Sus scrofa: one gene and its partners. The protein of the gene in region 1 interacts with the protein of each later gene in a pairwise test. Links are inferred from orthologs where the notes say so. Each region holds a gene or a part of one and is shown in the gene's direction. Other genes may lie near its edges.

Region 1 (4,087 bases):
TTATGCTCCCCTTAATCTCCCTGCTCTGAATACACCAACTTTCTTACTGTTCCTCTGACACTCTGGGCAACTTGCCCCTGTGCATCCCTGTCTGGAATGCTCTCCTCCCACATATGTCCTGGCCTGCTCCCTCTCTCTTTCAGTACTTTGTTCAAATGCGATCTTCTCTGTGAGCCCTACTTAGATCCCTCTATTTAAATTGCAAGCTTCAGGGAGTCCTCATCATGGCTCAGTGGTAATGAATCCAATTAGTATCCATGGTGAGGGTTCGATCCCTGGCCTTGCTCAGTGGGTTAAGGATCTGGCATTGCCATAAGCTGTGATGCAGTTCGCAGACAAAGCTGGGATTCAGCATTGCTGTGGCAGTGGTGTGGGCTGGTAGCTACAGTTTCGATTTGATCCCTAGCCTGGGAACTTCCACATGCCACTGGGTGTGGCCCTAAAAAGACAAAAATAAAATAAAATAAATTCCAAGCTTCAGCCCCCTTCCCTGCTTTATTTTACTCTATAGCTCTTATTTACTTCTAATGTATTATGAATGTATGAATGAATACTGCTTGGAAACATGTATAATAAAATATTCTAGGAGTTTCCTCTGGCTCAGCAGTTAATGAACCAACTAGGATGCAGGTTCTATCCCTGGCCTGGCTCAGTGTATTAAGGATCTGGCTTTGCTGTGAACTGTGATGTAGGTCATAAATTAGGCTCAGATCTGGCAATGCTATGGCTGTGGCATAGGCTGGCAGCTGTAGCTCTGATTCCACCCCTAGCCTGGGAACCCTCATATGCCCTGAGTGTGGCCCTAAAACAGCCCCCCTCCAAAAAAATATATATATAGATAGATAGATATTCTAGATTCCACATGTAAATGATATTCTTTTTCTTTGGCCAGTAGTTTGAGGTTTGAAGGGATAAAGCTTATGAGCTTATGGTTTAATATCTTTACTGTGTCTTCAGGTAATCCAAGGTTGTTATGCATTACCTGAACAAACTCTTATCGAGTATTTCAGTGCCAGGCACTCTTGAGTAGAAATATTAATAGTTAATACGTGTGTGTATTCGTTCACTCACGCAAATACATATTTACTGGGTGCCAGTTCTACTGGAGACACCCATTATAAGCGTTTCATTGGCTGTTCCCCGGAACCCCGGAGGCCGGAAAGGAGGGAAGACGTTCAGTCCTGCCAGCAGGGGGCGCGCGCGCCCTCCCCGCAGCCTCTCTGCCCACCGAGGCGTCCAGGCTCCACAGCTCGCTCCCGAGCGCGCCCCCGCCCGCCGCGTCACGTGATGCGGCCACCGACCCTGAGCTGCCGGGCCTAAGCCGAGCTAAATTCGTTGCCGGGGGCCTCTGCGGTGCAACCACAAAAGCTAATCCGAAGGAGGGGGTAGGGTTGTGGGGTCGATGCTTCCTCTTCCAATTCAGGTCGGCTCCGGTTACCGTCTCACCCTTCGCCGTTTGCGGCTCCCGGGGCGTTTGCATGCGCTCTTTCGTGCGGGGAAGCTCCGGTGACCATGTAGGGGAAAGCGGGAGGAAGCTCCAGCTGCCTGAGGGGAGGTCGGCGCGGTCGGCACGCCGCCTGGCACCCACCGCCTCGCGGGCCGCTGGCCCAGGTGGGAGCCCGGCCTGCAGTCGCGGCCTGACCCGGAGCGCCGCCAAGTCTCGCGCCGTCTCGCGAGAGTCCAAGTTGAAGGAACATGGCGACGTCTAATCTGTTAAAGGTAAGATCCTCCGTCCGGCTTGGTTTTTACTCCGGGGCTGCTGGTTCAGCTCTGAGGGAAGGGCTTGGCTTAGGTTCCGCGGCGAAGTGTGCGAATGTTCGGGAGTTGTCTGCGGGAAGGGACGTCGGGAGGCTGCCGCCGAGGGCCAGACTTAGGTCTTCGGCCTTGGGGTCGGGAGGCCGGTCGTCCGCCCGCGGGTCGGCGGCTGTGAGGCGGCGGCGGGCTGGGGGCCGTGCCTTCGGGACCCCGGAGGACAGTGCTGTGCCCGGACGGCTCGGCCAGGTGGCGTTCCCAGGGTCTCGGTTCTTCTGAAGCGAGAGTCCAGGACGCATAAAAGGAAGATCCAGGAAAATGTGGCCGAACTGGTTTTAATGCCTCGACCCCCACCTCCTCAATTTCTGTTCTCCTGTCTGCACGAAATTCCAAGACCCAGGGCAGTGCCCGCCGCCCTGCTCCCTCCCTTTCCTGCACGCCGCACCTTCCCTCCCTTTCTCCCTTTCTCGAGTTCATGTTTTAGGACTCTGTTCCTCAACCCCAGTACTGCTGAGGAAGCACTGCCATCGTTTTAGGGCTTGGGAAACTTGCCTTATGAAAGAAAACGGTTAAAGTTAGTTTTCTATATTTGGGATAGAGAGGGAGATCTAGGGCCAGAGGGGCAGGTCTACCATCATTTACAAAGTTTGGAGGAGAAGGAAGAAGGCATAACACTAGTTTCTTCTATGCGGTGTTTGTAGTAGGAACCTTTTGCTTTAAAAGTATTGACTGAATTGGGGGTAGTGATGAACTTAGGGAACACAGTGCAAAGGCTGAACTCCTCCGTCAAACCTATCATGCCTTCAGACTGTGGATGGATAACAAAATAATAGAGTGGCAGATATAAAATTACTGTAACCATTCATGTTCTCTTTAGACTACTAATATTAACTGTCTAATAGATGAGACTGTCTTATAAAATGTAGACCTAACTTACAGATTTAAGAGGCAATGTATCTTCTTTTAAAAGGGGAGGACCTAGAACTAGACTGAATTTCTGCCACTTAGAAGCTATATGACTTTGGGGAAGTTTCTAAACCTCTCTGTGCGGGAGTTTTTTCATCAATACAATGGAATTGTCAATAGCTCACTTCAATAGAAGCATTGTGAAAATTGAGTTAATAATGTAAAAATCTTAAAACAATGTCTAGCATTTAATTAGTACACAATACACATAAATTACTGGAGTTACTATTTCTGCTGTTTCTCTAAGAAAACAAGTTCATGGGAATTGAGTAACCTATTCTACTCTACCCTTTTATGAGAGTACAGCAAAGTTCTAATATATTAATTCTGAAAGAAAACTTGTTTAAGTTCTGAAGACTCTTGTTAATGCATAGAAAACAATTGCATTGTTAATTGAAATGTGTTCAAGAAGTAATTCGATACCTCATTCTTTGTGATTTTTCTTTTTCTTTTTGGCCATGTCATGTGGAAGTTCCTGGGCCAGGAATCAAACCCACACCACAGCAGCCACCCATGCTGCTTCACTGACAATGCTTAACCTGCTGCACCACAGGAGAACTCCTCTTTGTGAATTTTTGACTTGTTGCTGTAAAACAAGGTCTTCCCCCCGCAGAATTACCTCTCAGAAAAGAGCAAGTCACTTTATTCTGTTCTACTCCATACAAAGCCTTAAAAAGGATTATTTGGAGGACATGTAAGTCTGAAGCTACTTCATTCATTACTATTTTTTTTTTTTTTTTTGGTCTTTTTGCTACTTCTTGGGCCGCTCCTGCGGCATATGGAGGTTCCCAGGCTAGGGGTCCAATCGGAGCTGTAGCCACCGGCCTACACCAGAGCCACAGCAACGCGAGATCCGAGCCACGTCTGCAACCTACACCACAGCTCATGGCAATGCCGGATCCTTAACCCACTGAGCAAGGGCAGGAACCGAACCCGCAACCTCATGGTTCCTAATCGGATTCGTTAACCACTGCGCCACGACGGGAACTCCGATTACTATTAAGTGGTTACCTTGCAGAGATTATGAATCTACTTCTACAGCACACACTTACTTATAGATGAAAAAATTGCCTGAATGTATAGAAATAGGCACTTAGGAGTTAGGTTAAAAAAGCTCATAAAAAAATCAAAAAATTCTGTAACTCAAACAACTTTTATCAAAAAAGTAAAGTGATAATACTTTGACAAAATTGGTAAACGTTGCTCTAGTGAACATGAAGAGATGTCAACGATACACTTGACAAAATTTCAACAAATTAATGAAATGTTGAAAAGAGGGAAAAAGAATTTCTAAATGTTCTTATTTTTTTTATTTTTTATTTTTTTGTCTTTTTGCCATTTCTTGGGCCACTCTCACGGCATATGGAGG
Region 2 (3,650 bases), on another chromosome or scaffold:
GCATTGACTGTAGGAAAGAGCTGTGCTTGGGAAGGGGCCCTCCAGTCACTTGTCTTTTCTCTGCAGGTCCCCAGTGAGGTGTTGCCAGTGTTACCAGACCTTCCATTACCTGTGATACAGGCCAATTACCGTCCGCTTCCTCCCCTTGACTTGATATCTTCCTTTCAACCAAAGCGAAGAGGTAATTTTCTGTATCTTCTTCTTGTTTTTTTTTTTTTGGTTTTGATGGAAGTAGGATCTTAAAAATTCATTCATGATCTGTCATCAGATTTTGGTACATTTCCTAAGAACACAGGTTCTGGAGTTCTTGGGTTTGAATTCCCAGCTCTGAATTCTACTAGAAGTTATGTGAAATGGGGTCATAACAACTTCCTTGGACTTCAGTTTCCTAGTCTGTAAATGGGATTAATGTATCTGCCTATTAGGTGGATTGAAAGTGATAATACCAGTAACGCTCTGAGCTCTGGGTTTTTCCACAGAGTAAGTGTTCACTGATCTTAACTGTTCCTTTTACTAAGATCCCTTTATTCTGTACATTCTCCAGGGGCTTAAAAAGAAGTCTAGGGAGTTCCCTTGCAGTGCAGCAGGTTAAAGATCCAGCATTATCACTGTAGCAGCTGGGGTCCCTGCTGTGGGCAAGGGTTCGATCCCTGGCCAGGAAGCTTCCATATGCCATGGGTGTGGCCCAAAAAAAAAGTGGAAAGTCTATATACTGATGTGGAGTCATTTCTAAAATGTAAATGACAAAATGATGATAGTATATTAATTGGTTAAAAAGGAGTAAAATATTAGCTTATTTTTGTATAGACTCCCTGGAAGGATACACAAGAAGCTGATAGCATTGGTTGCCTTTGAGAAAGGAAACTGGGAGGCTGAGGAATGGGATGGGAAGGAGAGTTTTCACTAGATAACTCAGTGCCTTTTTAAACTTACATTCCTGCTTTCCTCATACCACAGCATTCTCCTCACCCCAGGAAGAGGAAGAAGCTGGATTCACGGGACGAAGAATGAATTCTAAGATGCAAGTATATTCTGGTTCCAAGTGTGCCTATCTTCCCAAGATGATGACCTTGCATGAGCAGTGCATCCGAGTACTTAAAAACAACATCGACTGTAAGTCCCATGCTTCTCCCTTGGCTCGTAAGCACGTTGTGGCACTGGAACACCGGTGACTTGGCCGCTACTCAGTGCTTTTCTCCTTTGATTCTTTGCAGCAATCTTTGAAGTGGGAGGCGTCCCGTATTCTGTTCTTGAACCTGTTCTAGAGAGGTGTACACCTGATCAGTTGTATCGCATAGAGGAATACAATCATGTGAGTATCCTGTTTGCATGGGAAGAGGGCAGTTTTCTGGCTTGTATCTCCAGAAATAGCTTTGTCTCTGAATCGGCCACAGTGATGGGCAGGTGGTGGTCAGATCACTGTTCTGAGTTTGCCTCTGGGCCTTTAAACAGCTTATTTTTAGCACCTGCTTCTGGCATGTTAAGTGAGCCTCTTGGGCTAGCATCAAGGTAGGATTAAAAGGTAGTAGGAGTGTAGCTAGGGCTCCATGGGAAGGCAGAGACCACTTCCCATACCTCCCTTGAGCTTGCCTCGTTTAGGAAGTCAAGAGAGAATTCTGGCAGCACAGCCCCTGGGATGCCAGGCAGGGACAGAGCTCTTTGTTGACCCCCAGATGTCTGGTGAATGTAAGAGCACAGATTGGCTGGGTGTCTCCTAGAGACCAGCAGATTTACCCCCCAAATCTTCCTGATGCTGAAGATGCTCATTTGATTGCATCCACTCTTTTTAATTCTGAGGGATCTATAACATATCCTTCTTAGGTGGCCCCTGGCCATTGCAGTTTAGTGTAGTGCTGGGGAAATGGCTGGATTTGACTTCATCCCAGGTCATGCCCTGCACTGATTATCTAAAGGAGAAAGACTGATCTTAAACTAATTTTTGTATTGTCTTCTTTCCTAGCCCCACAACCCCCCAAAGCAGCTAGTATAGTGCCTTACACTTAACATTTTTTTAATTCAGTGATTTGGGTTTTTTCCTAGAACTGTGGTATTTTAATATATTACTACTATTATGAGGACCAAAACATCATTAGGAACCTGTCACCCCTGGGTGATTAAGGATGGAAAAGAGATGTATAAGAGTGCTTGCATGTAAATGACATCCTGGTTTTGATTTTAGGTATTAATTGAAGAAACAGATCAATTATGGAAAGTCCATTGTCACCGAGACTTTAAGGATGAAAGGCCAGAAGAGTATGAGTCGTGGCGGGAAATGTACCTACGGCTTCAGGATGCCCGAGAGCAGCGGCTACGAGTCCTCACAAAGAATATCCGATCTGCACACGCCAATAAGCCCAAAGGTAAGGGGGCAGGATGAGTCTAGCAGAGCAGTGAGCCCGTGTTCTGATCGACAGCAGGGCTTTGGTGGGCTTGGCTGAGGTAGAATCTCTGAACCCTGGATCTCTTGCGTTTGCGGAAGAGGGCAGAGGTGGCATGCTTCTTCCACCACCGCCCATGCTGCCCTAGAGAGGGGCTTCCAGGGTTGATAATCCCATACCTCTGGAGGGATTTGCAAAACCTTTATCTTTTGATAGCATAGATTATTGAAATAACAGTAGCATCTCAGCTGAAGAAGGCCGGTGTTAACCTCCATTTCTCCACAGGCCGACAAGCAAAAATGGCCTTTGTCAACTCTGTGGCCAAACCACCTCGTGATGTTCGAAGGAGGCAAGAGAAGTTTGGAACAGGAGGAGCAGCTGTGCCTGAGAAAATCCGGTAAGACCTCTGCTCCTGTGGTTCCTTCCTGCTCAGGGAGAGAGCCCAGGATCTTGTCATTTAGCCTGAAGGGGCAGCCTGGGGACAGGAAGCAATTTGGGGGTGAAAGCATGGCCTTGCAGAGTGGGTTCTGGAGGCTGACCTTAACCAGCTGGGCACTTGACCTCCCTGAGCCTCAGCTTCCTTGACTGCATTGTGGGCCAGATAATAATTCCTGCCCCTTAAGGGGTCATAATTAAATGGAGAAAAGGGCCTGGCTACTGGGAAACATCCTCTAATGCTTTCCCTTCCCCCATTGAAACAGTAAAAATGTTACCACGATGACACAGCTATCTAAGTACACTGGCATTTTCAAAATACAGATTTACACCTAAACACTGAAAAGTCATTTGAGATCATCATTCATTCTAAAGGGCTGTTACCATTGTCACTTCCAAGCCATCAGCATAATCGAAGGTACTAGGTCCATTGGTCCAGGCCACAGACCTGAGTCCTCGGACCAGCCAGCTTCAGGCTCTTGGTACCAAGGGCAGACCTCTCTTACTCTTGACTAGCAGCTTTGCTTTGTGTCCCAGGATCAAGCCGGCACCGTACCCTGCAGGAAGCAGCCGTGCACCCTTCAGCAGTGGCAGCAGCAACAGCTTTAACGCTAGCCCGGAGGAGCCAGCCTATGACGGCCCGAGCACAAGCGGTGTCCACTCTGCACCTATGATCAGCAACACTGTTTCCTATGACCCTAGGAAACCGACTGTGAAGAGTAAGTAACTTGGGGCTCCTGCTCAGGTATTTCAAAACTAGTATTTGCACCCCTTTAATGCCATTACTGCTGCATGGCACTTTGTGATTAGATGTAGCCTATGTGGTGCCTTGCCCAC
Region 3 (3,650 bases), on another chromosome or scaffold:
TCATTTTTAAAGATTTTATTGAAGTACAGTTGATTTACAGTGTTTTGATAATTTCCGTAGTACAACAAAGTGATTCAATTATGCATGTACACACACTCATTCTCTTTCAGATTCTTTTTCCACAGATTATCACCGAATATTGGGTAGAATTCTGTGTGCTATACAGCAAGTCTGTTGCCAGTCATTCCATATATCTCACTGTGAATATGTCAATCCCAAACCCCCAGTCCATTCTCCCAGACTTTTTTTCAGTCTGAGAGTCAGCTTCTGTTCTATGAATAAGTTCATTTGCATCCTTTTTTTTGATTCCATTTATAAGTGATATAATATGATGTTTGCCTTTCACTGTCTAACTTCATTTAGTATGATAGGTTCATCCATGTTGCTGCAAATGGCATCCATAAAAAAAATGAAATAATGCCATTTGCAAAAGTATATATATTTTTTGTCTTGTTTTTTTTTTTTTTTTTTTTTTTTTTTGTCTTTTTGCCTTTTATTGAGCCGCTCCCGTGGCATATGGAGGTTCCCAGGCTAGGGGTCGAATCAGAGCTGTAGCTACCGGTCTACGCCAGAGCCACAGCAATGTGGGATCAGAGCTGTGTCTGCGACCCACACCACAGCTCACAGCAACGCTGGATCCTTAACCCACTGAGCAAGGCCAGGGAGTAAACCCACAACCTCATGGTTCCTAGTCGGATTCGTTAACCACTGTGCCACAACGGGAACTCCATTTTTTTTTTTTTTTTTTTTTTTTTTTTTGTCTCTTTAGGGCTGCATCTGTGGCATATGGAGGTTTTCAGGCTAGGAGTCACATTGGAGCTGTAGCTGCTGGCCTGCACCACAGCTCACGGCAACACTGGATCCTTAACCCACTGAGCGAGGCCAGGGATCAAACCTGCAATCTCATCGTTCCTAGTCAGATTCGTTTCCTCTGAGCCATGACGAGAACTCTAGTACTCTTTTTATATGGAATTATTTTTACATATTTTTTCTTTTTATATTAGTAATCATGTATCAATATAAAAGTCAAAACATATCAAAGTTAAATGTGTTAAAAAGTTTATATCTCCATCCCCTCTTCATATGTATATGTGTGTGCGTGTGTATAAAGCTGAGTCATTTAACTGTACACCTGAAACTAACACAACATTGTAAGCCAATAAAAAAATTGATTTCTTCAGCAAAAAAAGGAAAAAAATATTATTTTGCTGCACCTATAGTAATAAACTCTCTCTCCTTACATATCTCAGAGATTTGTGTTGAAAATGAGAATTGTATGAGAGTACTTTAAAAGCATTGTGGAAGAAAGTTAATCTTTATTTCAAAGGGAGTAGTAATATTACCTTATTTTTCTTATCTACTGAGAGTCCTTTCTTTCAAATACACTTAGGACTTGTTGCTAAAATTCACAGCTAGTAAGATTCCACGAGGAGGTAGAACAGAACTATTTTTCTGTACATGCTCAGGCCAGTGTTTTTTTTACTCACAGATGAAAAATTAGAATATGATTTTATTTGAATCATAATTGTTTTCTTAGGATTTTGGCAGGTTAGTTCCATTGAAGAATGGTTTTGTTAATTCCAGTCCATACGGAATGGTATTTTTATGAAATTATGGTTTGGATGTTGAAGCAATGTCAAGTTGCCATAAAAGTTTCTAAATACTCTGAATCATTGTACTTACCCATCCCAGACTGGTAACAGACCATTTATGGACTGGCATCAATCCGTGGAGCCTATTTTGCATAGCACTGGCTTAGAATTTAGCAGAGAAATGAGGACAAGGAAGATAAGAGAAAGCCAATGTCTGCATAGGAGGAAAATAGTCAAAACTGAGCATTGTAGAATCCATGCTAATGACCTTTAGATATATTGAGATTCTATTAGGATCAGACAGACAAAGACAAAGAGGCAGAGAGACAGATAACTGCTTAACCATCTAAGATAGGGTTGGCAGACTTCTTCCATAAAGGGCTGGATAGTAAACATTTTAGGCTATGCAGGCTAAGAACTCGACACTGCCCTTATAGTACAACAACTATAGACAGTATGTAAATGAAAGAGTGTGGTTGTGTCCCAGTAAAAGTTTATTTACGAAACTGGCAGTATACCTGATTGGGCCCAAGGGCCCTAATTTACCAACTCCAGGTCTAAGATACAGTGACTATCTTAAAGCAGATCATGAGTATCTTGGGATATAGAGTATCAGGAATAAGTTTTTCCTGCTCTTTCTTAATGTCTTATTGAGTTGTCACCTCAGTAACTGGTGTTCAGCGAACTCCTCTCTGGTATGTGATGAGAATAGCACAAGGCCTAACTTATAATAGGACTTCAGAAAATGTTTCATGATGCTATACAGATGTTTGTGCTCTTCCACGGTAGATGGGCTGACCACCATGATCTAATTCATTTCCCTTTTTCATTCTGAAATTGGTTCATCACCTCCTAGGAAACCCAGAGATTCTGTGAACAAGTCCATGCTGCCATCAAGGCAATTATTGCAGCATACTATTCGCTTCCCAAGGATCAGGGTAAGCCTCTCTACAGACGTGAGCATTTGGTTTATGGGATAGATGTTTGCTAATATGATAGCTTATGTCCTGACACTTGTACCTTTACCGCAATTTGGTCATGTGATATAACTTTCTCCCATAAAATTCAATCAAAGTTTAAATTTATGACATAAGTGATCTCATAAGTAAGCCTTTGTGCTAAGATACAGATGGTCTCTTCCCATCTACCCTGATTCTAAGGTTTTTAATTCTCACAGGCTCCTCTCTCTCCAACCTGTTATAACCACCACAGATGCTGGCTGGATATTAGGCATACCCAGGCCACAGCCATCCCCGGGCTTCTCCACCCATATTACATCACATCCTATTTCTATCTCCTTTATAAGTTAAGAGGTCTCCAGCCTCCCCTGTATATTCATGCCTTCATTATAATCATGCTGCAATTACTATTTTTCCTTTTTGTTGCCCTGTGACATATAGAATTCCTGGGCCAGGGATCAGATCCAAGCTGCAGTTGTGACCTATGCTGCAGCTGTGGCAATGCCAAATCCTTAACCAGCTGTACTGGCTGGGGGTCAAACCTGTGTCCCAGTGCTTCAGAGATGTTGCCAATATCCTCATGCCACGATTATAAATTGAGTACATGTCTCATGGATCTTCAGGGCTACTCACATTTTTTAAACTTGAAGTGTTTTATCCACAATTGTCAAGGAACCACTGTTTTTAATGATTGAGTACATGCTGCCATGGAAAGATCTTGTTTCAGATCTCTTTTGGAAAATACCAGTAAGGAATGGTGGGAGGAGCAAGAAAATGACATTGGGATATAAATAAAACGTGAGTTTTGGGTTGGCACTCCAGTTAAAGCATGTGGGTGCACATTACCTCAAATGCTATAGGACTTAGACTCTCAGGAAAGCAGATGGTGACTTCTGGAAAGAAGGCCAGGCTGCTTAGTCATTGGTTTTGGCTGCAGGAACCACCTTGAGAAAGCTGGTAAGGAGTGCCACTCTTGACATTGTGGATGGCATGGCTCAGCTTGTGGAAATGCTCTACGTCACTCCAACGCAGAGGTAGTGATGCCACGGTTTGGGTTATCAGTTAATGGGGCTCCTTGCTTCTGGGAGGGGGAAAAACT

Evidence for each region.
Region 2: the proteins of CUL5 (region 1) and ELOA come close enough for resonance energy transfer, tested with the Homo sapiens proteins (3 studies listed by BioGRID). The link is inferred for Sus scrofa from reciprocal best matches to the Homo sapiens genes CUL5 and ELOA.
Region 3: the proteins of CUL5 (region 1) and CCNDBP1 interact in binary tests that used the Homo sapiens proteins (3 or more experiments, as listed by UniProt). The two-hybrid records come from large-scale screens. The link is inferred for Sus scrofa from reciprocal best matches to the Homo sapiens genes CUL5 and CCNDBP1.

Annotation. Positions count from the first base shown.
Region 1 is NC_010451.4:36,418,604-36,422,690, forward strand, and holds the start of CUL5 (cullin-5), read left to right. Parts: upstream 1-1,202; 5' UTR 1,203-1,695; coding exon 1,696-1,719; intron 1,720-4,087. UniProt on the Homo sapiens protein: Core component of multiple cullin-5-RING E3 ubiquitin-protein ligase complexes (ECS complexes, also named CRL5 complexes), which mediate the ubiquitination and subsequent proteasomal degradation of target proteins.
Region 2 is NC_010448.4:81,574,741-81,578,390, forward strand, and holds part of ELOA (elongin-A), read left to right. Parts: intron 1-66; coding exon 67-181; intron 182-957; coding exon 958-1,113; intron 1,114-1,214; coding exon 1,215-1,312; intron 1,313-2,179; coding exon 2,180-2,360; intron 2,361-2,663; coding exon 2,664-2,775; intron 2,776-3,350; coding exon 3,351-3,532; intron 3,533-3,650. UniProt on the Homo sapiens protein: SIII, also known as elongin, is a general transcription elongation factor that increases the RNA polymerase II transcription elongation past template-encoded arresting sites.
Region 3 is NC_010443.5:128,262,936-128,266,585, reverse strand, and holds part of CCNDBP1 (cyclin-D1-binding protein 1), read left to right. Parts: intron 1-2,448; coding exon 2,449-2,530; intron 2,531-3,488; coding exon 3,489-3,585; intron 3,586-3,650. UniProt on the Homo sapiens protein: May negatively regulate cell cycle progression. May act at least in part via inhibition of the cyclin-D1/CDK4 complex, thereby preventing phosphorylation of RB1 and blocking E2F-dependent transcription.